7 separate regions of the Mus musculus genome follow, and all the other regions are reported to be linked to region 7. Evidence: microRNA targets listed by miRTarBase, many of them from high-throughput screens and not tested one by one. Region 7 holds a microRNA gene; each other region holds the end of a gene's coding sequence.

What was found. The annotated mature microRNA mmu-let-7b-5p reads UGAGGUAGUAGGUUGUGUGGUU and lies in region 7 at 2,358-2,379, shown strand. An mRNA with a match to its seed (bases 2 to 7 or 8) in the 3' UTR can be bound and repressed. Matches are read on the target gene's strand: a 7mer-m8 pairs with bases 2 to 8, a 7mer-A1 pairs with bases 2 to 7 and ends in A, and an 8mer does both.
Region 1: the mRNA of Wnk1 is a reported target of mmu-let-7b-5p. The part of its 3' UTR that is shown has no 7-base or 8-base seed match.
Region 2: the mRNA of Flywch1 is a reported target of mmu-let-7b-5p. Seed matches in the 3' UTR shown: 7mer-m8 at 2,719-2,725.
Region 3: miRTarBase lists Cadm2 as a target of mmu-let-7b-5p. The part of its 3' UTR that is shown has no 7-base or 8-base seed match.
Region 4: miRTarBase lists Nol8 as a target of mmu-let-7b-5p. The part of its 3' UTR that is shown has no 7-base or 8-base seed match.
Region 5: miRTarBase lists Snx30 as a target of mmu-let-7b-5p. Seed matches in the 3' UTR shown: 7mer-A1 at 2,338-2,344 and 7mer-m8 at 1,539-1,545.
Region 6: miRTarBase lists Sh2b3 as a target of mmu-let-7b-5p. Seed matches in the 3' UTR shown: 7mer-A1 at 1,497-1,503.

The regions. Positions count from the first base shown.
Region 1 is chr6:119,922,996-119,927,387 of GRCm38, reverse strand. Wnk1 (WNK lysine deficient protein kinase 1) reads left to right here. Exons shown (of 28, transcript NM_001199084.1): 27 at 154-341; 28 at 701-3,419. The coding sequence ends at 1,018. Among named protein-coding and RNA genes, the nearest start is that of Rad52, 22 kb to the right of the region's middle.
Region 2 is chr17:23,750,519-23,754,910 of GRCm38, forward strand. It overlaps Flywch1 (FLYWCH-type zinc finger 1), which reads right to left. Exons shown (of 8, transcript NM_001357994.1): 8 at 2,277-3,345. The coding sequence ends at 3,323. It overlaps 9530082P21Rik (RIKEN cDNA 9530082P21 gene), which reads left to right. Exons shown (of 3, transcript NR_015472.2): 3 at 1,160-3,547. Among named protein-coding and RNA genes, the nearest start is that of 9530082P21Rik, 3.5 kb to the left of the region's middle.
Region 3 is chr16:66,660,503-66,663,502 of GRCm38, forward strand. Cadm2 (cell adhesion molecule 2) reads right to left here. Exons shown (of 10, transcript NM_178721.4): 10 at 1-2,709. The coding sequence ends at 2,591. All of the region lies in intron 2 of 1700010K23Rik (RIKEN cDNA 1700010K23 gene), which reads left to right. Among named protein-coding and RNA genes, the nearest start is that of 1700010K23Rik, 4.9 kb to the left of the region's middle.
Region 4 is chr13:49,677,520-49,681,911 of GRCm38, forward strand. It overlaps Nol8 (nucleolar protein 8), which reads left to right. Exons shown (of 17, transcript NM_001271397.1): 17 at 867-1,497. The coding sequence ends at 917. Among named protein-coding and RNA genes, the nearest start is that of Iars, 2.4 kb to the right of the region's middle.
Region 5 is chr4:59,897,793-59,902,184 of GRCm38, reverse strand. It overlaps Snx30 (sorting nexin family member 30), which reads right to left. Exons shown (of 9, transcript NM_172468.2): 9 at 1-3,277. The coding sequence ends at 3,218. Among named protein-coding and RNA genes, the nearest start is that of Slc46a2, 15 kb to the left of the region's middle.
Region 6 is chr5:121,814,394-121,818,785 of GRCm38, reverse strand. Sh2b3 (SH2B adaptor protein 3) reads left to right here. Exons shown (of 8, transcript NM_008507.4): 5 at 1-26; 6 at 107-321; 7 at 399-570; 8 at 693-3,305. The coding sequence ends at 1,015. Atxn2 (ataxin 2) reads right to left here. Exons shown (of 25, transcript NM_009125.2): 25 at 3,836-4,392. Among named protein-coding and RNA genes, the nearest start is that of Mir7031, 2.7 kb to the left of the region's middle.
Region 7 is chr15:85,704,968-85,709,359 of GRCm38, forward strand. It overlaps Mirlet7b (microRNA let7b), which reads left to right and starts at 2,352; the gene lies at 2,352-2,436. It overlaps Lncppara (long noncoding RNA near Ppara), which reads left to right. Exons shown (of 2, transcript NR_110483.1): 2 at 1,587-2,557. Mirlet7c-2 (microRNA let7c-2) reads left to right here and starts at 1,636; the gene lies at 1,636-1,730. Gm34622 (a long non-coding RNA gene) reads right to left here. Exons shown (of 3, transcript XR_384306.3): 3 at 3,904-4,392.

The sequences.
Region 1 (4,392 bases), not on the chromosome of region 7:
ATACTTCAAAATCTTCCTCTCCTGCATGGCTTCCCAAATATTCTCCCCATTCCGTGGCTTGCCAATCATTACCCTATGACATTTTCCCCTTTCCCCAAAGTTATATCCCAGAACCCTACTTTAATGCTAATATTGTGTTACTTATAATTCTAGGGACCAGCAGCACAAATACCGTTGGAGGAACAGTGAGTAGCCAGGCTGCCCAGGCTCAGCCTCCTGCTATGACTTCCAGTAGGAAGGGCACATTCACAGATGACCTGCACAAGTTAGTAGACAACTGGGCCCGAGATGCCATGAATCTTTCAGGCAGGAGAGGCAGCAAAGGACACATGAATTATGAGGTGAGTCTTCCCTTTTCCTAACCTGCCAGACTATACACAGACATGTCATGGACAGCCAAGGCTGGTATGCCATCCTTACCACTACCATCTTCAGTAGCCTGTGGATTCTATTATTGAGAAAACAAGGCAGCAATCATTTTGGTACCCTTTTTCTTCAACATCCTGCACTACCTGCATGTGCACATAAAACACATCTCAGATCCTACTTTTCACTCCTCCTTGTTAAGGGTAAAGCCAATAAATATGGGCGGCTTCGTTATATTTTGATAATGCTAAGATTAGAACATCTCAGCTCTACAACAGCATTATAGTATCACCCATTTTTCATCAAATTCTCATTGCTACTTTCTTGTTTTTAGGGCCCTGGAATGGCAAGGAAGTTCTCTGCTCCTGGGCAGCTGTGTGTTCCCATGACCTCAAACCTGGGTGGCTCTACCCCCATCTCTGCAGCATCTGCTACCTCTCTAGGTCACTTCACCAAATCCATGTGTCCCCCACAGCAGTATGGTTTTCCACCTGCCCCATTTGGCACTCAGTGGAGTGGAACAGGTGGTCCAGCACCGCAGCCACTTGGCCAGTTCCAACCTGTAGGAACAGCATCCTTGCAAAATTTCAACATCAGCAATTTGCAGAAGTCCATCAGCAACCCCCCAGGTTCCAATCTACGGACCACCTAGTCAGCAGCAAGGATGTTAACTGAGTAGATTTGGGGGCAGGAAATGGAATGCTGGGGGGGTGGGGGGGTGGGGAAGTAGCCTATATACTAACTACTAGTGCTGCATTTAACTGGTTATTTCTTGCCAGAAGGGAATGTTTTTAATACCATTTTGAGCCCTCAGAATGGAGAACCACCCTCCTTCTCCGTTTGTTGGAGTTAAAAAAGAAGGAATGAACAGCTTTCTGGTGGAGGGGCTGCTTGAGACTGCTTTTCTGTTTTTGTACCCCTCAGTAAGGCCTAGAACTAGAAGAGAACCTTGTTACCAGAAAGCCCCAAGAGCTCAATGTAAGCCAAACCCGATCTGTATCTGTAAGTGGGCAGAGCTCTTTAATTTTGACATGTGTCCCAAATTCCTTATTCCCTCAACAATGCACACCTTAAGACAAAGGTTCTCTCCCACTCTGATCCCTACCCCCACTTTTTCCCCCCCTTTTACAACCTAGTGAAAAATACCAGGGGACTGGGGTTGCAACCCTTTCTTACATAGGTCATTAATGCTTTAAGCAAAAGATATTAGCAGCTTTGACTGCAGCATTAGCAATTAGGGAAAACAATAACGTTCCCTGCGGACATGTAACTTTGCCATCAGTTTTGATGTGGAAACACTGTGATATATAAATGTTGTTGGACAACATTAGTTTTAAGAGAAAAATTTGAAAGGTTTAAAAGGTTCACACACACACAAAAGCTAGCTCTGTCCTTTACTTATTAAGACACTTTAACTTTTTCCTTTGTATTTCCATTGTATTAGATAAATAAATGTGAATGTAAAATTGTATAAATTACTGTACTTGAATACTTCTGTTCTCCCAGTATTGCTTGCTGGATATTTTAGTGCCTTGGACTTCTATTGCTTCTGCTGTTAGCATCAACTTACCAGACCCCAGGTCACCAAAGGGTATGTGGAAAGAAATCTTAGGTCCACATGACCCCAGCAGTGGATATGCCAAAGGGAAAATGAAAGTGTTTTTGGTTTTGGTTTGGTTTATTATTTTGTTTTGTTTTGTTTTGTTTTCTCAGTCGTTTCAATTTTGCCTAGAGCAGGTGTAAGGTGAGCACAGTGAAGTTGGCATCAGTGGTTGAAAACAAAGTTCTGTTTCAGAAAGAATGAGGAGGGTTGTGAGCTGTGTGTGAAAGATAAGGACTGAAGATGTGGGGACAAGCTTGTTTGAAGTGATGCTTGGCCAGTGAACAAACGAGATCTAGAAGAGATTAAACAAAAAGAGGGGAGTGGGCTAGATTTTAAGTTGGGAAGGATGACAGTGCCAAGTCACAGATGGAAAATGTTGCTCTAAGGAAACCTGCTCGGTTGCCCCCACCTCTTGTTGCACAAGTACCACCACACTTTCTCTGCTTTAAGTACTGTATTGTGGGAATTCAACCCACTTCTAACTTTCTAAGCATTGTAGGAAAAAGTGCTTATTTCCTTTCCTAGCTGTCCAAATGGTTGCACAGTCAGAATCTATTGTGCTGCCTGTACTTCTATATTAGAGCTAATACTCTCACATTTTCATACCCATATCCCCAAATAACAGCAACCAACCAGTATTATCTGATTTTCTGGCAATAGGGACCTAATTGGCTGTTTGGGATCTGAATATTCTGGAAAAGTGGAAAAAGTAGAACTCATTTCTTGGGTGCTTCCTCCTTCACCTTGAGTTGGGAACTGACACATTTCCAACTTTATGACACATCCCAGGAGTTGCCACACTAGCAAGGCTTCTTCCTGTAAGAGTCTTGTTCTTTTTAAGTTGGTCGAGGCCCAAAGATACAAGTGAGAGCTGAAAGTTTCAGGAGAGGGAAGTGTAATGAGCAGGGCTTTTGTTTCAGGTCGTGCTACCAAAGTGTTGACTCATTTATTCCTTTTGGGAGCGGTAAGAGGTACTGTGGGAGTGAAGCAGGTTACAGGATGACTGAGTGCTTCATACCAGCAGTAGAGGGAGCCAAATGCAGCATGTGGTGTTTGGTTTAGTCATTCTGAGTGAGGTCTGTTCCCCCTTCACAGAGGTTTACTTACTGTTGGTTTCCCCCTCCTGTGGATGAAATAACTGAAGCCTAGAGAAACGAGCTAGTGCTACTGAACTGTTTAAATTATTTTTGTGTTAATAGTACACTTTGAGTATCTTTCCACATTTAAAAAGAACTTTCCGAATTATAAATGTTTTCCTTACGTTATTTAACAATGTACACTGTTTAAAACTGAATTCAAACCTTGGGGTTTCTCAGCAGCCGTTACCTGTACATTTGCACTAACTCCGGGGGCTGCGCTTCTGTAAGATTGCGCTTTGTGCTTCAGTTTGTTACCTTTGTAGACTTATTTAATGAAACCATTCAAATAAACCAAACTTGCTTTTGTTGAACTGTGGGTTGTTCTTTCTGACAAACAAAAAACCCTTTTGTCCTCACTGGCCCTACCATTTATAACTAAAATCGTGCTGTTAAGGGTGAAAGTGGCACTTCTCCAAGGAGTCTGTTGCTAGTCCTCAGGAAAAGGCAAAGCAACAGCTGTTAGATGGCAGGGAAATTATTGCAAACTGCTGTCAGTCAACAGCGTCTGACATAGGTCTCAGTTTCTCACCAACAGATCTTGTCCCTGCTTCAAGACTAGGCACAGGGGCTAGAGGCACTTCTTTCTCACCAAGCCTGTGCCTGGTCCCAGGGACTCACCAATTCCCTCATAGCATAACCCTAAATTCAGCTTAAGTAGAATTGGAAGTTCATTGTTCCTTTGAAAAGAATCATGAAACTTTGGGTGTGGTATAGTTAAAGAACAGTTACTTCCTTAAAACACCTATTCCTAGGGAGACAGCTAAGTAGTTTCTCATCCAAATATCCTGAGTTCAATTCCCAGAAACCATATGGATCATGATTCCACCCTTCTTCTTTTGTTTTGTTTTTTCGAAACAGGGTTTCTCTGTGTAGCCAATTCCACCCTTCTTTAAGTGAGAAATTATGGCTTCCCAACAACCCATGGCTTTTCACTCAAAGGCTCTTCAGCCAGAGAAAACAATTCTTTAAAATGGTGCACTATTCATGTAGTATGATAAGAATCTTACCCTAACTATGCCTTTGCCAAGTACAGCCATGCAAGAAGCCTAAACTACCAGTAATCTCAATTGTAAGTTACACCAATTCTGCCAGTGTCAGTGTTCAAACATTACTTGATGGCTCAAAAAAACACTAACAGCAGAACTAATAGGAGCCAGGTGTGATGGTGCACACCTTTAATCCCAGCACTCAGGAGGGAGAGGACAGGTTCAAGGCAGCTTGGTCTAAAAAGCAAGTTCCAGGACTACATGAAAAAAAATCATCTCCAAAGGAAAAAACCTACTA
Region 2 (4,392 bases), not on the chromosome of region 7:
TGGCTGAGCCCAGGCACCAGAGAAGGCAGGGCCTACTGAAGCACATCAGGGGTCCCTGGCTGGTGAGCAGTAAGCCTGTGGAACTTTCTGGGTCAGGACACTGCTGCAGGCCCCCTGTGTCCACTGTGACCTGGACTCCTGAGATCACCCAGGATCACCTCATTATTTTTTTGCTGAGCTTCCCTGGGTCAGGGAGGGTGAATTAGTAATGGCAGGTTAGTTAGGCCATGGCAAGTCGAATCTGAAAGTGATTCCTGCCCCTGCTGATGCACAGGCTCACCAGCCAGTTCTCTGGAGTGTAGACGTAACCCTGCATGCACCAACACTCTTCTCTGACTATGTCACACTGTGTGGAGATGGTGGAGGGATTGATGCAGATTAATTATAGTCTCTAATTAATTAAACTGTCTCTGAGTTAAGTAAGAGATGGGGACAGGAACACTGGTGCATGCCTGTGGTCTAAGCTAAATGTGGCAGGTTGAGGCAGCAGAATGACTTGGGTCTAGGACTCAAGGTCAGCCTGGATAACAAAGCACTGCCTGGCCTTAACTCTCAGTGGGGTCTGCTATGTAGCTCAGGCAGGCGTGCAAATTGTTAGGTAGCCCCATCGGGCCTCATCTGAGATCCTCATACCTTGATTCCCTGAGTACTGGGACTATAGGCACATAGAATTTGAGACCTTGATTCTCAAAAACAAAAAAAACAAAAACAAAAACAAAAACAAAAAACAAACAAAAAAGATGCTGGTGATGAACCTAGAGGGCCTGATTTGGCCAGTGAACTGTCTGGAGTCTAGATTTCTGCCCATAGCTGCACAGGAGAGGATGAGCTACCAGCCTTAGTTAGGGGCTGCCACTTTGATTGAAGCTGTGTGTGCCTCCAGGCAAAGGACACTGTTCAGACCTCCCAGAGACCTGGTTCACCAAAGGCATGAGCTAATAACAGGGAGTGTTTGGCAGCTGATCTTGGTAAATTGTTCAAAGCAGTAGTGTGTGTTGGACAGGACAGGCTGGTGGGCTTGGGGGCAGTGTGGAGTGAGACCAGCGTGGACAGGGCACAAGTGTCTAGGGCTGCAGGAAAGCGTGCCAAGCCTCTAATACCCTCCTGTTTGGCAGGGGCCTCTGCCATGGTCAGGAAGGTCACACTGAGTCTATTACAGTCCTGCAGAATAAGAACAAGATTGGTCTCCCTGGAGTACTGGATATCTTCCCGAGCAAGAGGCTGTAGGCTGAGGCAAGTGGAGGAAGGCCTAAAGACCAAGTGGGCCCTGGAGACATCCTTAAGTACATCTCTGGTGTCTGGTCCTTAAGTGAGGTAATCACACCTGACACACACAGCCAGGGAGAGGACCCCATGGCAGGAACTGTGGAGTCTGCACTGGCGGGCTGAGGAGGGGCCTGAGGAGAAGTGGGTGTGGAAGCCTCCCGTTGCAAGGTGAGTAGTTGGTCTCCAGGTGAGATGGAAGTAGAGGGATGGAAATGTATATTAAATCCCACAGTTGCTGGGCAGTGGTGGCACATCCTTAACGCCAGCTCTCAGGAGGCAGAGGTAGGTGGATTTCAGTTTTAGGCCAGGTTGGTCTACAGAGTAAGTTTCAGGACAGCTACCTAGAAGGAGGACTACACAGAGAAACCATGTTTCATAAACCCAAATCAAACCCCACCATCGAGTTTTTACTTGAAATCCTTTCTCTCTACCTGGTGCTGAGATTACAGACATGTGCCCCAGAGGTGCTGGGAATCTGACTCAGGTCCTTATAGCTATGTAGTAAGCACTTTACTAAGTGGGCCGTTTCCCCAGCCTTCAGACTGTCTTTTTTTGACTGGAGACAAATCTCAGGTGGAGGCCCAGGATGGCTGGTAATCAGAGCCAGTTAATGACGAAGATGAAAAGTGGGGAGTTGCCTGCCCAGGAGGTGCCCAGCGTCTCAAGAGGCAAACCTGGCCTTTGCTTGGGATACCACTTTCATCTGTGGCTCTCACTTGGGGTACCGCTTCCATTTGTGGCTCACTTGGGGCACTGCTTCCATTTGTGGCTCACTATAACTCATTCTCATGAGCTCAGAAGAACTCAAGCTGAGAGGTAGTACATGGCCCACTCTTCAAGCCTTCCCCAGGGCTGGGGATAGCTCCTCAGCAGGTCCCCTCCAAGTCTTGATCTAGGCCAAGCAAACACCATTGCCCATGAGTTACCAACCAAATCCACAATGTCCCCAGCACTTGGCAGGCGGTATGTGGTTTGTGGCAGCGCAGACTATTACTGACACACAGCAGCTCTGTACCATGAGACTACACAGGGTTTATTGAGGGAATCAGATGAGCAGAAGACAGCGGCAGGCACCAGGCCATTACTATCCCACAGGGGTGGCTGTTCCACGGCTTGTTTGCTAAGGGAGAGGAGCATGCAGCTCTATGACATGATGAGGACAGCTCTGGCCAGGGTGCAGCACGCAGGAAATTCTGCCGTTCCTGGGGACATTAGAGTGCCACTGCTGGCATGGCTCCTGAGTCCTGCTAAACTCTTCTACAGGAGGTGGCTTTGATGCCATCTAACTGACCTGGTGCATCATGCGACACCAGGTGAGCAACCCTCAGTGGTGCCGCTGCCACTAGAGCATGCCTACATGGTGTCACCTCCTCCTGACATCTGGGCTGGCTCCCAAGAACTGTGGACACAGGTTTAAGTTGGGAAAGAACGCAGGGTGCCAAGTCTGCCAGGGAGGTAGAGCGAAGCCTTTAGCCTGTTCCGCTCTGCCACAGTCAGAGCTGGGTGAGCCTTAGCAAGCAGCAAGAGACTAAAGAGCAGGCAGGCCTCACACCTGCCCCTAAAAGATGCCACAAAGCAAAACAAACCCTGCTGTGACTTGCACTGTCTTCAGAGGGTGGCAAGAAGTTCCTGCACATATCCTGGCTTGGGGTGACTGCATTTTGCTGAACTTCATGGAGCGCACACGGGATCACGCCCACTGGAAAGCTCTGAGCAAGGCAGTGTGCTCTGAAAGCAGATGGTGCTGAGGCCTGGAGAGCAGAGCAGGGCAGAGGTATATCATCCAGACACAGTTCTCCACAGCTGTCTAAGGTCAGGATGGTAAGAGCAGCATGGGACAGGCCTGCAGGCCACCCATCCAGCTTGGTTACCACCCAAAGTCCAAGCACTCCTCCTGGGAGACCTCTGAGGAAATGTGACAGTCCTGGGTGCTTTGGAAGAGTTGTCATCAAGTGCATCTGAAGGATGGGAAACGCCTGCAAGGATGGGAAGCATTTGGGGTGCCAGCTGCTCCTCTGTTGCTCCAGAGAAGACTCACTTCAGCAGGACTGGCTGCTCAGTTTTTGCTCTTTGATTTTCCTGATGACAGAGAAATGTGCATCATTACAAAGGTTTATTTAAGCCAGGCATGGTGGTGCACACCTTTAATCCCAGCACTTGGGAGGCAGAGGCTGGTGGATCTTTGTTTATGGTTAGCCTGGTCTACAGAGTGAGTTCTAGGACAGCCAGGGCTATACAGAGAAACCCTGTCTCAAAAAATAAACAAACAAAACGCTAAAGGTATATTTACGGTCTCTGTGTGAGTTATTTTGGGTTTTTTTCGTTTGTATTTGTTTGCTGACTGTATCTCACTATACAGCTGAGGCAGGCTTGGAACTGACCATACAACTGGCCCAGGGAGTTGGTCTTGGCCTCTGTGGTGCTAGGTCTGCAGGCACGGCTAGTTCTTTTTTTTTTTTGGTTTTTTCAAGACAGGGTTTCTCTGTGTAGCTGGCTGTCCTGGAACTCACTTTGTAGACCAGGCTGGCCTCGAACTCAGAAATCCTCCTGCCTCTGCCTTCCGAGTGCTGGGATTAAAGGAGTGCGCCACCAGGCCTGGCTGGCACGGCTAGTCCTTTTCCTCAGCAAAGACAAAGCCTGTTCATTGCCTGGAGGCTGTCCTGAGATCCAGCAGACCTGTAGGTGGGGGTCTTTGTTATCTAATATATGGTCACAAATCACCCCTAAACAGCTTTTGGGATCAAAAATGTTAAGAGTGGCTGGGCTGGGTACTTCTGACTCACTGTGATGCTGAGGAACAACATCACAAGGACCACAGTCATTTAAGGGAGGAACCACTCCCACGACAGTTCCTGCTCTAATCTCTTCTTCAATCAGTTTTTGTAACCTGTGTCACTCTTGGGGTAGTTTTGTGGTTCTGGGTATTAAATGCAGGGTCTCACACATCCTAGGCAGGTGTTCTACCACTGAGCTGTATTTCCAGTTCCTCCCTCTAGTAATTCATTAAATAAATCACTGAAGTTGTTTTCATACCAATAAATGTTATCTGTAATAGCCTATGGCTGTTTTATTCATCATTTTATTAATTTATTGAGACAAGGTCTTTCTATGTAGACCAGGCTGGCC
Region 3 (3,000 bases), not on the chromosome of region 7:
ACGTTTGACTGAAAATCATTTGATTAGAGCCCACTAATTTTTTATCTGCCAGTGATTTTATTTTACAAGTTCTAATGGGTTGGTGTATTTCTCAGAAGGGTCAAAAGAGTCAAAAGTCTTGAAATGCAAACAATTTGGGGTTTCTAATTTTATAGTGTTATAAATAATGTTTCTGTTATTTAGGCAACAATTTTAGCAGTTGGAGCCAAGTAGAATATAGATGAAGGTTATAAATACAACATCGATGAAGAGTAGCAATTTTGTAAATGTATCCTGAAATTAGGCTTTAAATAGTAACTGATGATACAGTTATACAACATACTTAGCAATAAGAACCTTTCCGTTTTGTACTAACAGGATGAATTTTTGCTGTGTGGAGTCTTTCTAAAGATTATGCATTGAAAGATATGAGCAGTTTATAGACCTATTCTAGTTTCAATGTGTCTAGAGGCACCTACCTGATTCTCTCGAACTACCATACTATATTAACATATTATTGCATTTTTTTCCACAGATGGTATGGAGTGAACTGTAAAAACAAGCATGCAATCACATCAATGCAGACTTATTTCCTTAAAATGTCATACTGTATATGATTTATTATGTTAACACTCAACCACATCATATTATTTATGTTCTGTATATCTTGAAAAAAGTGCTGCTTGACTGACATCGTCCTTTTTCTTTTGTAAGAAATCAACAAGATAAATGCTACACAATTTAAAAAAAAATTAAAATTCTAACATTGTCCTTAAATGTTTGATACTTTTCTGATAAATAATCTAATATACAGCACCCTTGTCCTCGTGTTGTTATTAGCATAGGATGTTGTATTCAATCATCCTTCTTCCCCGCAAATAAGTTCCAAGGTATTTTTAAAATTCCGCCATGCTGTTAGTCATCACAAGTACAGCTACCATATTGTAATTTTTGTTTTCTTCTTAATGGTGCAATGCTTGCAAATGGGAAAATAATTTTTTCATCTAACTGGATCTTTATTCTTTAGCTTCCAATAAGTGTAATGAAAACTATTCTACCAATATTTTATTTCACCCATAGATAGAAGATTTGTATTGGCTTTGTGACATATTTAAGATTACAGAATTTTATAATATTTCAATATACCAAAATTTAAAGTAATCCAGAGAAAGAGACTTTCACCTTGGAGTTAAGAGCACGGCACGGGTTCTCTATCACTCTCTGTTTCATAAGTTTGTACCTCACAGAATGCATAGACAGGAGTTTAATATAAAGAATTAGCTCATTTATGCAGAAAATATCATAAACACTCCCTTTTTGGCAAATCAACATAGTTAAGCAGCCCTGAAACTGCCAAATTAAATTATGTAAAGTTGTTTTTTTAAATTAAATCAAACTAAGAGTTTGTTTTTAGGTTATTATTCAACTGTGGTTGTGATTTAAAACCTGAGGCTGTGCACTGGTTGTTAGCTTAAAATTACCTTTCCTTGTAACATTGTGCTTCCATTGTATAACAAATAAAAATTAACAAGAACTAGAAAAATTTTGTTGTTGACAGTGCTGGGACATACAGACAAAAATACTAATCCATGTTATCTACTTATAATATCAGTTTATGTAATATCTAAAGGGATATAATGGACGTTAGAAAATGCGTACTTATGACTGAATAACCTACAGCCAAAAAAGTTAAATATGTATCAAATAATGTTTAATTGGATTTATTATATGCACTATATACAGATACTAAAATGTCTCAAAATTGTGCCCTACTTCAGTTTTGTTTAGGCAGGTGAATCCTTATGGAACAAATAAATTATAGAATCAAATAGAGAAATGAATGAAATCTTTATGATTCCCAAAGCAGTTAAATGTTTGTAATAATTTATTGGTAAATGAAGCTACAATAACCTAATGGTAGGATCTATATAATAATATAAGGTGTCATGTCATGAGTATAATCCATACACATGGCGCCTGTATCAAACACTAAATTTTAAAATAGCCACTTGATACAGTATTACCAGTATAATCTCAAACATTCCAGAAACTACACTACAATGTTTTTTCAGTTTGTGTTTTCTAGGGCGTATGTTTCCACAACATGTTATCTTTGAAGATAGACAGGTAGAAAACATTGTTTGTAAACCACTAATCTTCGATTAAGCTTAAACACATTAGGTCATCACCTAATCCTGTGACTTGTGATAACTGTCCAATGGCAAACCAATAAAGTCTATGACTTCAAGAAAAACAAATGTAGGGGCGGGGCTCTGCATACATTTCTTCAATGTATAAAAACAACTCAATACCATGATCCAGTGAGATGATTAACATTGTTAAGGCTGTATATTCAAGCACTGTATGTTAAAAGAGCAATGGTGTAAAATTTAGGCAATAAGAAATGTCCTGCATTATGGATGGTACAGTAATTAAAGAATGATGCTTTCAACTGCTGATTGTTGGTATACACTGGCTACTGAGAGCAGTACAGTATGGGTGTTAATAAAAGTAGTAGAAGAAGATGGTTGGAATGATTTCTGAAAGATGATTGCCAGTTTTCTCCAGCAGTCAGCCTGGTAGGTAAAACTCAGAACTTGAAGCCTGAATTTTAAATGAAATACTCTTTTTTCTCTTCGGCATTGACTTGGCTGCCTTCAGCATTGATAATGGCTGTGTCGGCATCTGGTGCATCTTCGGCTCCTTTAGCTTCATTTGTTAGATATGTTCCTGTGAATGTGGGAAGAAGGATGTTAGTTCTGGGCATCTAACAAAATAATTAGCAAGTAGAGAAAGCATTTGACCGAATCTTGGTATATTGGACAATATTCTGAGAAGTGATACACCATACAACTTGGATGTTTAAAATTCTGTCTTTCTCTTTAATTTTAAGAGATGTATTTTATGTGAGACTGAAGTACAATTATTTAAAGGCCAGAATGATGCTGACATGACTACTACATCATGTTTGCTTCTTTAATGATGGATTGATTAATGAGACCATAGAAGAAATTTAGTTCT
Region 4 (4,392 bases), not on the chromosome of region 7:
TAGTAGGAGAGTCTCTGCTTCCAGGGCCAGTTTTTCAGTGAACTCCCAACAGGACATGACAGTATACCGATATGGGGTACGTTACACAAGTATATGTCAAGGCACTAAAGACTGGCTCATTTGAGTGACTGGTCTGTGTCTAGCCAGTCTACTAAGAAACAGGTAATGAGGTTTTTCAAAGCCTAAGTTACAGTTCCCTAACCATATAAAACCAAAAACTGAATAGACTCTGTAGTGAGAATTTTGGTCTCTTTGAAAAACACAGAAATATTATGGGAATCTTTTAATTTTAATCTCAAGTATGGGAATAAAGTGCTACTTCAGGCTTTCCAGAGCAGCTATGATTTACCTAGTGCTCAAGCAGGGAGCAAGTGTGGTTTCTGTGATTGTGTGACAATTGGAATTCTGGGGACTCTTCAGAGAGTATATATGCTAGGGCCCCAAGAGAGAGGGTAGGTTAGTGGTTTGTGGCTATTGGTTGCTGATAGCTGTGGTTAAGTATTCAGTGCACAGTGAAGAAACCAGAAAAAATTAGATATCCTGATAGCAAAGTTCAAAGTTGCCTCAAGGAACTTGACTCCCCAATCAGCAGGAAGTAGTCTAACCGTAACATCAACCATCTCCCCTTCTATCCTTTTTTCTCTCCTATGTAGTGTTAGGGGGTCGAAAGGGTGGAAGAGGAGGCTGGGTGAAAGGGAGAAGGGTGGAAGAGGAAAAGAACCCACAAGGTAGCCAAGGTCTGACTATAGTCGGTGCATCCCAGAAGTGTTTGTAGAATGGGTTTCTACGACTTTAAGTATACTTTGTTGACTGTGCGAAATTTGTGTTTATTGTTGATAAAAGCTTCTTATTTTATGGTTTTTTAGGAATGTCGGAAGAAACATAAAGAAGCCAAAAGGAAGGTGAAAGCAAATTAACCATTGTCAGCTTTGGTTTTGGAATTGAATGTGCAGACTGCTCACCAGCCCTTGAAAGAAATTAACCCAGAAAAGCATTCACTGACAAAGAAGATATTTCATAGTAGAAAAATATTCAAACCTGGATGATAATGTATCATTCTGATGACTATTTCTGTGGAATTCGTATACATTCCCTCCTTGATGACTGTGTTAAAATTAACTGAGTCAGTTGTGACACACAGTATAGCCTCAGCACTTTAGAAGGGGAAGTGGGAGGATCATTTGAGCCCAGAATTTGAGATCACACTGAGCAACACCCCACCTCAGAACAGCATCCATTCTTGTTCTTCACTCCTGACAGGAGGCTTACATGAAACCTTGTTTAATAAATGGTTTGATGTATTTGTTTAAGTATTTCTGACTATGCTAAATATTCTATACCTCTAATTTATCTTTTTAAACTCAAGTACAAATTAACTTTGAGTTCTGTATATACAGATGTAAGTTTCTGATGTAATTTCTGAAGACAAAATAGAACTTTCTAATAAATGGTTCATAATATTTGTGTTTATTCCTAATTAAATACTCTTTACCTTCATTTTGTCTTTTATTTAAAAAAGAAAAAGATAAGTTACAACTTAATTTTGAGCTATATACTTATATTTTGAAGACAAATTGCCCGAAATGTGGGATATTCAGACCAACACCTAAGATTTCTGTGAGGACCTGGGAAGAAAGACAGTCCAGTGTGTTCTTGACCTTAGCCTCATCTATTATGGAGTTGGGCCTGTCCCAAAAGTCCAATTAGACATGCGGGTATGAAAAATACTAATTATCTAAAAGACCACTTAGAGTCAGGAGTCAGATCCTAAGCCTAAGATAAGAGTGCAGGTTTGATATTTCACTAAATCTAGCCAAGATTTAACACAGACAGGCCTCCTATTAAAATGGACAGTATAAAAGGGTGTTAGTCCTAAGAGTCTTACTGAGCTATGATGTGCATCTTAGTCAGTGTTGTATTTATTCCTTGAGTACAGAAATCTATTATGATCTGTTCTTGTGTTGTTAGCCATTATTTCTTACTTCCTATGTCACACAGATGCTTGACTCCTATGGGGGGTTGTTGCTTTTAGTAAAATAATATACAGGAACTGGAGAGATGAAATCATTTGGACAAGTTAAAATAGACTACAAAGAACTAAGCAGTTGGAAGACCTGTTGTAGATTTCTGTTTCATGGATTTCAGACTTAGAGATTAAAAGCTATGTGGAAAGATACTTAAACCATATGTCATCATTTCTTAGCAAATGATCCTAGTAAAAGCCACAACTTTGCTCACGTACACTTCATTTGGTTAGGATTTCCTATTCTATAGTCATTGGCGTGCATTAGCTGGAGATAGAGGTTCTGCTTGGATGCCTGGCCCACTCACTGTCTATCCAAGGGCTTCTTTAAAGTGTGGCAATTAGAAGCCAAGGGCAAGTGTTCCCAGAAGCAGGAAACATGCTTCCAGTCTCTGGAAGTCTTGGCCAAAAATAAACTCAGCCACTGGTTCCATTTTCTATAGGTTAAAACAGTGGGAAGAACCAAAGAGCTTGCGTCCATACTTAAATGAGCCAAGGACTCCATTTCAAAGCATTGACAACTGGCCTTCCCCATTCCCAGGTCTCTGTCATGAGATGTAACGTGAGCTGCTGCTTCCAATCGTCATCTCTACAGTTTGCCTATCTTAACTCTGACTACTTGCATTTGCTGTCTTGTTTGGGGCTTTCTGCAGACTTGGCAAGCACTCTATCACTGAACTATATTCTCAGCCAATTTTACCTGACTTGCTCCTAAAAAAAAAAAAAAAAAAAAAAATTACTCTTGAATCCAAGTAGTATTTTGGCCACAGCCAACATCTTCCAGGATTCCTGGAACTGGCTCTGTAGACCAGGCTGGCCTCAAACTCGGAAGTCTGCCTGCCTCTGCCTCCTGAGTATTGGAAATTAAAGGTGTGCACCACCCAACCTTGACAGGTTTTTAGATTTGAGTTGGTTGGTTGGTTGGTTTTGTTTTTGTTGTTTTTTGGTTTTTTTTTTTTTTGTTTGTTTGTTTGTTTTTGAGACAGATTTCTCTGTGTAGCCCTGGCTGTCCTGGAACTCAATTTGTAGACCAGGCTGGCCTCGAACTCAGAAATCCACCTACCTCTGCCTCCCGGGTGCTGGGATTAAAGGCGTGCACTACCACGACCAGCGAAAGTTTTTTAATTACCTATTTTCTAGACGAACTGTTCCTTTACTTCCCAACAGTAGTTTATAGTGTTTCTCAATCCAATTTTTAAACAGCCTGGTCCAGTCTACACTACCTATGGGTACATAAGTTTCTTTCACTTTGTGCAGGGACCTTTGTTCTATTTCTGCACGCTGATCAGAGGATAAACATGAGGTGAACCAATTGGCAATTTAAAGAATGCAAAGCTTAAAAACTCCAAATATTTCTGGTTAATAAGGATACTCATAATTAAGAAAGCAAGAAGCACAGGCAAACACTGCATCTAATTTTCGACACCATAGGGCCTAGAACTGTTGAATAAAACACTCAACAGTTATCAAAATGTTCTAAAACTCGCCGAGATTTCTACTTCATTTAGGCCAAATCCGTTTTTTTGTTTTTGTTTTTCTGTCATTAATAAAATAGGCACTTATTTACCTAATTAACGCTGTCAATTTATCAAGGCCAAAACTTACTTTCACAGACTGGTGTCAACGTTCTCATTTGTTCTAGGCCGGATCCGAAGGGTACTAAGTAGATATGTAATGATACATAAGCAAAATTTTGAAATGAAAAGAACCATTGCAATGACATTCAATAAAGGGTTCAGATTATTGTCAGACCCTCTTCCCTTCTCTTGCCATTTACCACATGGTTAGTAGTCTCCAGGTTAATATGTACTGTTCCCAAAATAATTGTGGGAGTCACTTGTCAGAAGTTTCATATGTAGCATAAATTTTAGATGCCATCACAGCTGGGAATCTAACTCAGTTGGCAGTGTGTGGCTATGGTGCACAAATGGCCGGCTTATCCACCGCACCATATAAAAACAGGCGTGATGGAACATTTCTGTAACTCCCATTGTGGAGGCAGAAAGTTCTGCAGTTCAAGGTCATTCCTTAGCTGCTTAGGAGTTCCGGAGCCAGCAGGAGATACAAGAGACCCTGAGTCTAAACTAATTTTATATGGCGTCAAATGTCCAGATCTCAAATATACTCACATATATTTAATAATATTCACATATATTGACATATATTTAAGAATACTGGGGTTGGAGAGATGGCTCGGAGGTTAGGAGTACTGGCTGCTCTTCCAGAGGTCTCCAGTTCAACCCCAAGCTTTCACCATTCTGGCTTACAACGAATACATGCAGGCAGGAGACTGTGTACAAATAAACAAACCCTTTTAAAAAAGAGAGAGAGAGAGAGTACTGACATATGGACCCAGGACGAAAGGGTGT
Region 5 (4,392 bases), not on the chromosome of region 7:
TGTTTATGGGCTGAGAGGGTACATTCTACAACTCCATTTGGCATAGAGACGTATCTTACATTCCGCTTCTAGCCCCAGGCATGCTGACTTTTCTTGTTTCGGCTTTGGGAAAATATCTGGTGAGGTGAGGAACAGCTGGGAGAAGCTACTTCCCACTCGGCAGCAATCACTGCTGAGCCTTCCGAGAGCATAAAACTGGACCCTACACAGGCTGAGGGGTCACTCCCTCCTCACTCCAGAGCAAAGCCTCCTTGTTTGAAGCAGCTCAGCCCAGATTCTTCTTGCAAATTCCCAACATCAGGAGTGTCCTTTCCTGCTACAAACCACAACTGTCCTAAACAACCACGGCTCTCAAACCTCTTTTGCCTTTGTAGGTTTTTTGGTTTTTTGGACTTTTGTTTTTTGTTGTTGGTGGTGGTTTTGGTTTTGGTTTTGCGAGACGAAGTTTCTCTGTGTAGCCCTGGCTGTCCTGGAACTCACTTTGTAGACCAGGTTGGCCTCAAACTCAGAAATCCGCTTGCCTCTGCCTCCCGAGTGCTGGGATTAAAGGCATGCGCCACCACGCCCGGCTGCCTTTGCAGGTTTCTAACCCCATGAACAAGCCCTCCATTTCTCAGGACCTGGGCAGTTGCTAAGGCCAACTTTCATCTCACTGGCATGTGTTCAAGCTTCAAAAGCTATCTTTATCTCTCCACCTGTGGCACCCTCAAGGCAAAGTCTCCTGGAAAATGAGTCGGAGGGACCTGTGACATCAGGGAACAGCTTTGTAGGCTCCAGAAGTAATGGAGCCTCTCTGGGGCATTTTGGCACTGTAGTCTCTGAGCTATGTAGGGAGTCTCTTTTGTGCATACTTTCCCAGGGACTGAGGGGGCCTGTGGAGCAGGGAGGGAGGAAGGCCTCTTCACTGTCTGCTGCCTTTTTTCCTCTAGGCCAGCCTCCTCAGCTCACCAGCTGCCATCCCAAGGAGAAGGGCAAGCATGCCTCCTTGTGCATGGGTGTCCCTGGCTCTGCCACTGACACTGGTCCCCAGGGAAAGAAAGTCTCCATTATTCCATCTCTTTCTGGAAACTCAAAGCCCAGGGACATTCCTTACTGGCCAAATGAACAAAACAAGACAAACATTGCAAGATGCCATGAGAGCCACCTCTCATGAGGGAATGGCTGTGGACCCTGCTTCCCTCCCTACGTCTCCCAGTGCAGCTGGAGGCTGTTTCTACGGGGCTTTCTTCTTGCATAACTAACCAGCACACAGGATTGACTTGAGGTTTTGGCAACCAGCTGGCCATCAAATCTTAGCTTCTGGATAATTCTTTCTATAGTTCTTCCCATGTATCATCACATGACTATTCATCATATCAGGCATACAATCCACAAAGCAAAGCTTCATGTTTCTCAAAGATGGACATCACCTCTGAGCGAGTCTGGTGTTTGCTGATACACACAATGGAGGCCGGTTGGTGACTAAATACACACCCTGACTCTACCAGCATGCTCGGGTGAGCTCTGAGCATTCATACCCATACCAACCCAGTGGTTTAGAGGTAGAATGAGATGCCAATTTGCTGGCATTTGGGTGTATGGACCACTCTTACTCCTCTGCCTCAGTGGGCCATTCCTATTTGTACCAAAGAAAATTCACATCAAGGCCTTTGGGATGGCACAGTCAGGGTTTAGGCAAGTACCGGTAGATGTGGGAATTATTATTTCTATCACAAATTTGTCAAATATGAGAAGATAAATTGTTTCATGCTATCTAGCTGCCATCCCATGATGTCCCATGATGTATCTGACTCAATGTTAGAGGGAATTACAGGACTTAGCATGCCGTCTGCTCCGGATTTACAAATTAACTTATATACGGAGCAGTGCTTGGCCGCCTCACCTTAAAGACAACGACGCCCCTTCCGTTTACCTGCAGCTCAGATCTACGGATTTTTAGCAAAGAGCCACAGATGAAAGAACACAAATATGCAGCTTCCTTTTAGCAAGAACAGTGGTATGGAAGAGAGATCCTTTCTGATTGCTGGCTTTATGGAAATCTGAAAGGCTTCAAATGAAGATGTTAAGTACAGTGGCAGCCCCCAGATTTTGGCTGCAAACGGAGATTTCCACATAGACAGAAGCAAAGAGCATGATGTTGCTCTTCTCGTCTTGGAGGGACCTGCAGATGCTTTTATCTTCCTGACCACAGAATGCTGAGGGTTAAAACACTCATATAGAAGTCACACTGAGTTTACAAATTGTGACAGCAAAAATAAGACAGCACATCAGCCCCCACTGCAAGGCTGCCCAGACAGTCAGCGGGCACGGCAGGAAGATTAAACTAGACATTTTTGGTGAGGTAAAGGCAAATTGCACAAAGCAGACATCGGAGCTGGGGCTTGGCACACCGGAGCATCACTGACAGCAGCTGTTTCCAAACAGGTCTAATCCCAACCACGATGACAGTTAACAAGCAAAACACATACACTAAGACCTTCACGGAGAAAAATGCACCTTTTTTTTTTTTCCAGTTCACACCAAAAAGCTTCTCATCTGTTGCATTCTGGTGTCAGAAACAAGATCCTGAGGCATCCCATAAGGACAAGGACGCTGGCGTGCTCACTCAAGCGTCAATGCTCACAGACACGGATTCAGGTGGCCCCACGTGAACCAGAAACAAGTCAACAGAGGCCACTCATCATGAGCAGGCAGCAGGCCACAGCCACGGCCACGGCCACAGGCTACAGGCCACTGTAAATTAAGGACTTTCTGAGAAGGTACCCACACCTCCTTCCATGCTGGGTCAGGTTAATGCCCTCACGGGTAAAGTGCAGAGCCACGGGGTCTCCACAGCAAGCTGCAGCTGCCTTCTTCATGTCTCCCCATGTCCCTGAAACGCAGGACTGGGGTTCTGTCCCACAATGGCAACTGGGCTGTCCCCAAAGTGATGTCACGTGTCATGTGGGGGTTATCTTGCCCCTCAGTTTCAAGTCTTTTAGTGTTCCATTTAAGAGGTTCCTTCACAATACGGAGGTATGCTGCTGAGAGATGATTACAGTCTCATAGACTCCAAGGAATAAATACTAACTGAAAACAACTGGGGGCGGGGGTAGAAAGTACACACACAAGAGGTGCTGTTGTGCTGTTTTCCCACGGCGACCTCTCCGGCACTGCAGGGACATTCTGGTTCAGGGTTCCATGCCCTGTGGAGGCAGAAGAGTCTCTGTTCCAAAACCTACTTAGTCTCTTGCTTCTCTTGCAGTAGTGGAATAATGGACTCCCACGCCATGAGGCACTGGAACGAGAACACGCATACAAGGTCAGCTACTGAGTCCTACTCTGCTAATCCTCATCCTGCCAGGTCACCTCTATCTAGTGGCGCCTACGTCTGTTATCAATAGGGGAGGTGACAAGTGTTTGTCTGGAATCTGTCACCCCTACCTTTATTAAAGAGGCATGTCCTTATAAGGCTTGCATGCCTTCACTCTAGTGTGAAGCCTACACCCAATGTGTGGAAAGATCCACTCTCACTAAGCAAAAACCAGGCCAGGCAGGAAACGCTTGATGAGGACGGCAGCTCTGAGAACCGATAGAGGCATTGTTAGAGGTGTGGGCAGGGCTTGTCTAAGGATGGAGCCACGAGAGGCCAGCCACCTGGGTCAGGGTGGGTGGAAAGCACACTCTTGCTCACCTGAAGTCTGGTTTGCTTGTTTGGACAATTTTATATATCCCCAAAGACTGCAATGTTTACATTTATTTCTGCGTATGTAAAGGGTGAGGGCACATGTACCATGACATGCGTGTGGAGGTCAGAGGACAACCTTAAGGAGTTAGCTCTCTCTTCCCACCATGTGGGTTCAAGGGATCAAGCACAGGCTGTCAGGCTTGGCAACAAGCACCTTTACCCGCCCCACTGAGCCAACAATCAGGTTTTACTAGGCCTACATCCTGTTGTGTATTTTCTACTCATTATCCCACGGTCCACAGTTAGAGCAAGAACATGAATGCACACTGACACTCTTCTCGTTCCAGATCCTTCTGACAGGACAAGAACTTAGAAGACTTGGGCACTGCCTGAGAGTGGCTGACCCAGGACACACTGTCCTCCCTCTGAAAAACCTTTTGCAAAAGGGAAGGGCAAGCCCGCTGTACACACAGGCTCAGGGTGAAGAACTCTACCCTGAGTCACCTGGGCGGAGGTCTGCAGGGTGGGTGGAGAAAGGCAGCATGGGGCCAAGCAGAAAGAGGAGTGAGTGCTGAAACCTCTCCCTCACACCTTCCTTGTCCACTCTGAGGCTGGCGAGGAAGCCAGACTCGGACGCCTGTCCTAAACAAGGAAAGCCTAGTCAGCCTCGTGGAGCTTGCTTCCAGCAACGGACTGGGAGGGAGGCCCACGGCATTCTAAACTCA
Region 6 (4,392 bases), not on the chromosome of region 7:
GGGAAGCACTGACTCCCTGGACCAAGGTATGTGCCAGGTCCTTGGTCTCTGGGTGTCCTTGGACATGTGGCCCCCCTGCGGGTCACCACCACCATCTTTCCGCCAGGTGCTTCACCTGGGGTGTTGCTGGACCCAGCCTGCCAGAAAACAGATCACTTCCTATCCTGCTACCCCTGGTTCCACGGCCCCATCTCCAGGGTGAGGGCTGCACAGCTGGTCCAGCTCCAGGGCCCTGATGCCCACGGCGTGTTCCTGGTGCGGCAGAGTGAGTCCCGGAGAGGAGAGTATGTACTCACATTCAACTTACAGGGCAGAGCCAAGGTAGGGGCAGGAACTGGTGGACCAGGGTGGGGCAAATGCAGCCTGGGCAGCAGGCTGATCTTTACCCCTTTCCATAGCACTTACGCCTGGTGCTCACAGAGCGTGGACAGTGCCGGGTGCAACACCTGCACTTCCCCTCGGTGGTAGATATGCTCCGCCACTTCCAGCGTTCTCCTATCCCACTGGAATGTGGAGCAGCTTGTGACGTCCGACTCTCTGGCTATGTGGTAGTCCTCTCTCAGGCACCAGGTAGGAACCACAAAGTTGTTGTCAAGGGTGGTGTCACCGCAAGTACACACATGCCCAAAGCTGCTTTTCTGGTGCGCTTTTTTCGGTTTTAAGACTCATCCACATCCATGCCATCTCTCCAGGTTCCTCCAACACCGTCCTCTTCCCTTTTTCCCTTCCTCACTGGGATTCGGAGCTGGGTCATCCCCACCTCAGCTCTGTTGGCTGTCCCCCCAGCCATGGTGCAGAGGCTCTCCCTGGCCAAGTGACACCACCTGAGCAGATCTTCCACCTGGTGCCTTCTCCTGAGGAACTGGCCAACAGTCTGCGGCAGCTGGAGCTCGAGTCTGTGAGCAGTGCCCGGGACTCGGACTATGACATGGACTCCTCTTCACGGGGCCACCTTCGGGCCATTGACAACCAGTACACCCCTCTCTCACAGCTGTGCAGAGAGGCAGACGTGTGAATGGAACCATTTTCCTCCCCTCCAGAGAACTATAGGCTGCTGTCAGCCTTCCCCAGCTCAGATGTGCCCCGCTTCCAACACACACAAGGCTGTCACAGGCTTCCTGTCAGCCAGAGCTAGCCCCCGGCTTTCTCCCACTGTTTACAGATGTAGTTCTTGTGCACAGGTGCCACTAGCTGGTACCCTAGGCCTAGTCCCCAACCCAAAAGGAGGTGGGGCTACAGGCCCAGAGCTGGCAGTGGAAACTGACAGAGCTGATGACAGACTTCTTACCAGGCAGGGTCATCGGGAAGCACAAAACACTAACAGTCCCTGGATTCTCACATGGTGTCCTTCCCTGTAGCTTCAGATCTGTGGCAAGTCCTCATGGGTTCCATGCCACAGGCGATGGATGCTTCATGATCCTGCTCCTACTCTTAGCTTTACGACAGAAGCTCTGCCAGAGGGACAAGCTTAAAGATCAAAATTGATTTAAACATTTTACCTCAGAGTACTTTTTTTTGTTTTGTTTTAAAGGATTCAGGTTTCCATTTAATATTAAAGCTTATTCACTGCACTGCCCTACTAGGACCCCCCTGTCACTCTGAAGTCGGGGGCAGCGAAGCACCCCTGGTTCGCTTACCCTGAGCCAAGCTAGCATGCTAGTGTCCTTGTCTGCTCCCTCAGGACAGTTGCCTGCTGTGGGGTAGCCACTGTCCTCCCTAATGTAGAGAATGAAGTGTGTCACCCTTTCAGGGAAAACCAGGCAGCTTGCAGAGAGGAGGGTGGCAAGGGACATTCCACTCCAGTGCCTTATGCATTAACAAAAAGGACTCTGGGTTACAGCAGCTTTACAGAGGCTGGGAGGTACAGGTGGGCGAAGGGCTTGAGGTCATCTTTATACCCTCTACCCCTGAGGTTGGCTCCTCTGTGAGCCAAAAAAGGAGCTGGCACTGTGTTGTGTAGAAGCTCTGTCCCAGGTGGCAGCAGGGTCCCCATCCATACAATCTCTCCATCCAGACAGTGCCAATACTGTGATTGTTCCTAAGGGACAGGATCACAGGGAGTGGGTAGTGCTTGCAGCAGCAGTGGCTTTAGAGAACCACAACTTAACTCCTAGACATGTTCCAGGGCAAACATTCCGCTGCCCTGCTGAAGCCAGCAGTACTGACCTCCTCCTCTGGTTACTCTGTACTCTGCAGGGGTGTGGGCTTTGGGGAGGGAAGCAGCTGCACCTCCTCTTGAACACTCCCCATTGTGTTCACGGACCGAGGTGGGTCCAACACAGGTGCAGATTCGTGTTCCATCTTTAAGGTAACTTGCTTTCCTTCACTGCATAGAAGGTATGAACCAAAGATATAAGCAATATCCAACCAGTGGTCCAGATTCGCCTCTAATCTACATAGGATGGGTGCACAGCTGTATCCCTTCACCTGGCAGAAGCTAAACTAACTTCAAACTTGGGGCACTTGTTTCCCCTGGGCCTTCAGAAGAGAGACTTGCCCGACGCTGTAAACCAGCACCTCCACCCCCACTGTGGACAGCTTCCTTTCAAGAAGTGTCTAAGATAACAGAAAACATAAGGCAAAAAGGTATTCTCGTGACTGTGGGACAGAGTGACAACACTAAGCCAACACCTTTCCTTTCTGCTAGAGTAGGTCCAGTTGGCTGAAGGGGACGGGCAGGTTTGCGAAGCTCCAGGCCAGATGCCCTCCCAGTGTGTTGGCACCAGGCACCGTTCCCACCCCAGCAGTCTTTACTGGCCACCACTGGCTCGACAGTCCCCGTACCCTTGCTTCCTTCTCCTGAGTACTCAACTACAAACTAAAAGTCACCAGCACCAAAGAGTTGGGTCAACTAACCTGCCTTGACTTTACCAGCAATCCATATGGCTTTATCTGTATAAATCTTCTGCCTCTGATCATTTCTGGATGGTGTAGGAGAAAGGAATAGGGATCATTACAATCTCGGGCCACACAACACTATCTTTACCTAAGTTTCTTAAAGTAAGGCTTCACCCCTTCCCTGAGGGCTCAGTCTCTTGTTTAATATTACCTTGGTGCAAACACCAAGTGATAAACTGTCACCCACTGCCTCCTAGTGAAGACACATCTAATGGCCAGTGTGTGGCCGGAATAAGCAGCATTGTCACCACAGAAACAGGGAATCTCATCTTCTATCATTACAGCAGAAGGTATTTGGCAAATCTTCGTTTTATGTACTGTATGAGTAACTTATTCTTGAATAATGCAAATTTTGCTACAATGTACAAATTGCTGTATGTCAATTAAAAAGGTTTCCAGTATTACAACCATGATCTCTGCATCCACACACCCATCCCACTTGCCTGCCTCCCTTTCGGGCAGCCTGGCCTCATTCTGTGCTGCCCCCCCCTCCCCAATCCCTGGCTACACTGAGGAGGGACAAGGCTCTGTGCTACTAGACAAGTGCTTAGCCACTGTGGCCACACCTTGAGCCTGGTCAGATTCCTCTGTAAAGAAGGAGCTTCTGCCCCCTACTGGTAACACAGAACTGAACTGGGATAACTCAGATCAACAAGGAAAAGTGAGCTTACAGTCTGCACCTGCTTGCAGATGTGGACTTTTGAACGCTGCCCACCTCTGGCCAGCCTGCCTTCTGCTGAAGCCAACTGCTAATCCACCCGAGAGGGAATCACAGTCTTGACTTTTTCTAGATACCTTGAGCCAGAACTAAAGGTGAAGAAGAAAAGTCATTTGGTCAGCACCTCCTCAGAGATTGGAGCAGCACAACCAGCCTGTCTTCCCTGGGGTCTACCTCCCACAGCAGCAGGAGTCAACATAAACACACACTAACTGGGTATCAGTTTTTAAAACTTTTTTTATTTTTTAATTTTTTTTTTTAGTTTTTATTTTATATTATCTACAAAGTAAAAGTTTTCCCTTAACTTAAAAGTTGAACCACTGTAGACAGTGATCGCCTCATCAAACTTGATTTATAAATAATAATCCGTCAGTTTGGCGGTAAGAATTTACTGAACTTCTGTCAAGTTTAGTAAAAGGGCGTTCCAAGTCTTGATTTTTTTTTTTTAAAGCGGTAATAGCAGCAAGAATCACTCTTGTTACTTCTGTTGCTAGCTGATGTGTTCATGACTCTCAAGGGCCATTAAAAAATAAATAACTTCCAGTTTCAGCAAGCAGAGCTGGGTACTTGCAGGACCCTGCAACAGCACATGGAATTATGGAACAGCCACAAGTCCCTACATGCCTCTACTCGGTCCAAAACATCCTCCACTGCAAGTGAGCTGTTAGCATTCCTATCAGATGTTAAATCAGTGTATCTTTTAAAAAACAAAATCAATGAAGTTCTAGTTTTCTGTGCTTCCGGTTGGCAGAAGCAGGAGAAGGGAGGAGGGGATT
Region 7 (4,392 bases):
CAAGTGCAGAAAAGGCGCTTTGGGGCTGACACAGTGGCATACACCGGCCTCCTGCTGCTAAGTAGAGTGGCTGAGAATCCCCAGGGGCCAGCCAAAAGGACCCCACGGAAATGCATGATGGTGCCCAGAGTCAGAGGGGCCAGTCTCGACCTTCCAGCCAGACCTGCCCACGTACTTGTATCCTGACAGCCAAGGGCAGAACCCGAAGTGTTGAGAGACCTGGGGTTGATGTCTGACCTCTTTCCTCCTTCAAAGTGCTTCTGGGGGCGGAGAGGGGGAGGGAGGTGCTGGGCTCAGATGGAGATGACCAATGTGGTCTCTAGCTATTCCACCACATCCGGGCACAGCCTAAGAACCGACGAGATTAACCATGGCCAGTCAAGCCTACAGAGAGGCTAAGCAGTGTGGGACACCCCTCAGCCTTCTCACCTGGGCCACCCATCATAGATAGGATCACCAAAGGGGCCCTTCACCACTCTCTTCCCACGCCTCTTCTGCCTTGCTGCCTCTGCAGGGACCATCCTTGAGGGTATTTGACCTGCCTGTTAGTGAAAGGGTCCAGGCTTGAGGCAGGGGATGGCACCCCAGTGGCTCAGATTTCCTTCTGGGGCTTGGAAGATTAGTGTTTCCTATCATCACAGGCCTGCCCACCACGGGCCAGGCCACACCAGCGCTCTGGGAACCTTGTTCCTAAGCTCCTCTGCCCCATAGACTCCGGATCTGGGGCCACAATGTGGACTTAGACCTAACGGCTTCATTTTGACCCAGGAGTTTTGGACTTGTCCCTTGACCCTTGGCAGAGAGGAAAGGAGGCGTGACAGTAGACGCTAGGGCTCATGCAGAGAGCAAAAGCTGCCTGGCTTCCTAGGTCTGGGCACAGGGCTTCCCTCCACATGCTGGGCAAACCGGTCTGAGGCCTGAAAGAAGCAGGTCTTTTTCCCTTCTGAGAGCAGAGCTACCTGAGACCAGAGACTGAGCCTCAGTTTCTTCAGCGATCTCTGCTGGCCTCTGGAAGTGCTAGTCGTTAGGGACAGACTGGCCATGAGTGTCCAGCCAGGGTCTGCACTTGCGCCCGGCTGGCCACCATGGGGAGTTAGGCTGCCTCCCACAAGGAAAGACTGTTTTGAGCCTCCCCCAGCAAGGTCAGCTCAGGCCACCCTGAGAAGAGGGAGGGACAGAACCAGAGCCCACGAGGGGGGGGCTCTTCCTGCCTAAGGGGAAGAGGGTACATGCCCAAGGCTACTACTTAGCAGGAGTCCTGGTGATTCTACTACGCTAGAGTTGAGTGGACAGAGGCTGGGTCTCAGCCAGGTGGACACTGGAAGCACCCTGGACCTTGGTGGCCTTTAACAAATGACACCCTTCCCCCATTGTGGCCATTCCTGTGCTCAGTGCCCCGTGCTTTCTCTCTCTTCTCCCCGTTTCCCCGTCTCCCCGTCTCCCCTTACTCTCTCTGTGATTTTGTTTAAATGTCCCTGGCCCATTTTGAGAAAATCCCAGTCTATTAATACCCTCAGCACTGAGCGGCCTGTGTCGGGGGTGGGGGGTGGGGCTCACCATGTCCCCAGCTCTCCTTCTTCCTCTAGGAGGGACCTCAAGAAGCCACAACATCCAGCTCTACGCCAAGACTGACTGACGGCCTTTGGGGTGAGGTAGTAGGTTGTATGGTTTTGGGCTCTGCCCCGCTCTGCGGTAACTATACAATCTACTGTCTTTCCTGAAGTGGCCGCAATATCTGCAGTGGATACAACGGCGGCCCTGGCTGGGGAGACTGAGGGAGGGACAGGGGGGTGATAACTACCATGCAAAAAGAGCCTGACAGAGACCTTGGATAGTCCCTTGACCTCTCTGGGCTGTTACTCATCTGTATAAGGGTTGGGGCATAGCGATGAAAACAGACAGCATTTTCAGGGCACCTTCTCTCCCTGGCCCACACTGAAGGGGCCTTCCTGCCCCTGGCCCCATATCAGACCTGTGCTCACAGGTCTCCATGAAAAGAGGGTCTGGACTAGACCTTCAACTATGTTCCAGAGTTGCCCAGGCTTTCCAGCGCAGGGTCAGGCCTCTGACGAGCAAGCGTCTCTTCCGAGAAGAAATTGAAAAGGAGCCATTCTTAGCACACCCATGAGTACAGCCTGCAGATGGACCGTGTAGGCCACTGTCCCCTGTCCCTGGGGCAATGGGTTCAGACACCAGAGGCTTCCTCAATCTGTTTGGTAGGCACAGGCCTTTCTCACTGAACCTCTGTCTCCACTTCCCCCTCCCCCACCCCGCCCTGTGCCCTATGGCTCTAGTGGCCTGTGGCCAGGGTGGGTGGGGAGCGGCTGGGCCTCCTCCAGAACACGGACACCGCAGGGTGAGGTAGTAGGTTGTGTGGTTTCAGGGCAGTGATGTTGCCCCTCCGAAGATAACTATACAACCTACTGCCTTCCCTGAGGCGCCCAGGGACACAGCTACATGGAGGCCCCCGCTCAGCAAGCTAAATGGAGCCACAGATTGGGTGGGGGCTATGACGTGGGACCTGGGTATAAATAAAGGATGTTCTGTCATGAACTTACAACTGGTCTTTGGTCATTTTGGAAATACGGAGACTGGCCGTAGAGGACATGAGATCGCCAACCACACATTGACACGTTTGCATGCATGAAACATTGCCAGCAAGAGCTGCTCTGGGTAGTGAACAGTACCCTCCCCTCATCTTCCATGTGCCCCTTAGTGGCCCAAGCCCTGGACACCCAAGCCCCTCCACATGAGTGGAACAACAGACCCTATGACTCCAAGTCTCAGAGCACAGTACTGGCTTCCAGTGTCCCTCAGCCTGTGGTCCTAACCAGATCTGAGAAATTCCTGGCCTATTGTCCCTTCGTGCCTGCCTCCCTTGGGACAGTATTGGGACGGCTGTGGATGTAGCTTTCTAATCTTGGGCCAAATGGTCATATACCCTTCTTCCAGGGACCCCAAGCCTTCATTCAGGTGGTGGTAGTGGGGTGAGGGTCAGCCCTCAGCTAGTGTTAGCTTAGGAAGGTAAAGTCCTAGTCTTACCTGACCAGACACCAAAGGCCTCCCTCGTGGGTGGATACCTTGACCCTGATGTCCTGGCCTTCTCCCCATAATGAATCCCCCGAGTCCCAGCTCCCGTCCTGAACCCAATCTGCCTCAACTCTGCATATCCACACACCTCCATTGACGCACCTAGGCAGACCAAACACCCCTAGAGCCCCTCTATATCCACCCTCAGCTACCAGACCTCTCAAACTTAGCCAGCCATTTCCAAAGATCTGATACTGTGCTAGCCCCAGGGTTGAGAGTACCCAGAGGGACTCTCTGAGTACTCTCTGAGAGCAACAGGGATGGCTTCCCAAAGTAGGGGCTATCTGAGCTGGGTCTTGATGGCTGTATAGGAGTTGGCAGCTAGAGACACAGGAGTGGACACTCAGACACTCCGTGGCATGCCCCATTGTCTCCTCCCTGCTGTCCTTTGGAACATCGATGGTGGATGATAAATTGTCACCTTTTTACCTCTCTTTATCCTGTAGTCAGTGGTGAAGTCTGTTGACTCTTGCTATGCCTCCAGCCCTAGAGGAGTAGTCCTTCCTCCCCTCCCTTGTGCAGAGCTTTGCCCACTCTTCATCCCTTGCTGAATTAGTTAAGGTTTTACTGCTGTGAGCAGATGCCATGACCAAGGCAACTCCTATAAGGACAACATTTAATTGGGGCTGGCTTACAGGTTCAGAGGCTCAGTCCATTATCATCATGGCAGAAGAATACCATGACATAGGAAGAGCTGAGAGTTCTACATCTTGTTCCGAAGGCAAACAGGAGAAGACTGGCTTCCAGGGAGCTAGAGTGAGGGTCTTAAAACCCATATCCACAATGACATACTTCCCCTAACAAGGCCACACCTCCTAATAGTGCCACTCCCTGGACCAAGCATATACAAACCATCACACAGCCTACCTTCCATACTCTTCTGCACAGCCCAGCCCCCAACCCTTCACCCTCACACAGGCCCACCCTCTGGCTACCACAGCCAGCTGTGTCTGTGCAAGCAGAATGACATGCTGGCCAGTCACACCCACCTCCTGGCTCCTATGCTGCAGTGGGAGATGGCCTCTGCTCTGCAGAGTTCAAGTACTAGGGACACAGGACAGGACACACGGCGACCACCCAGTGGGGTAGCGTGGGAGCATCCGAGAGCTCTGAGGTGCTCTGCAGTCAGGGTAGCTTCCTGGAAGATGACCTCTGACATGTCCTGTGCCCCTCTCTACATTCTGTTGGCTCTTCTCTGACAACTGACTGTCACTAGAGATAGGGGTGCATGTGGGGATCAGGGTGGGTACGACACAGCATTCAGCAGAGTGGAAGTTCTGGGGTGCAGGGGAGTGGTTCAGC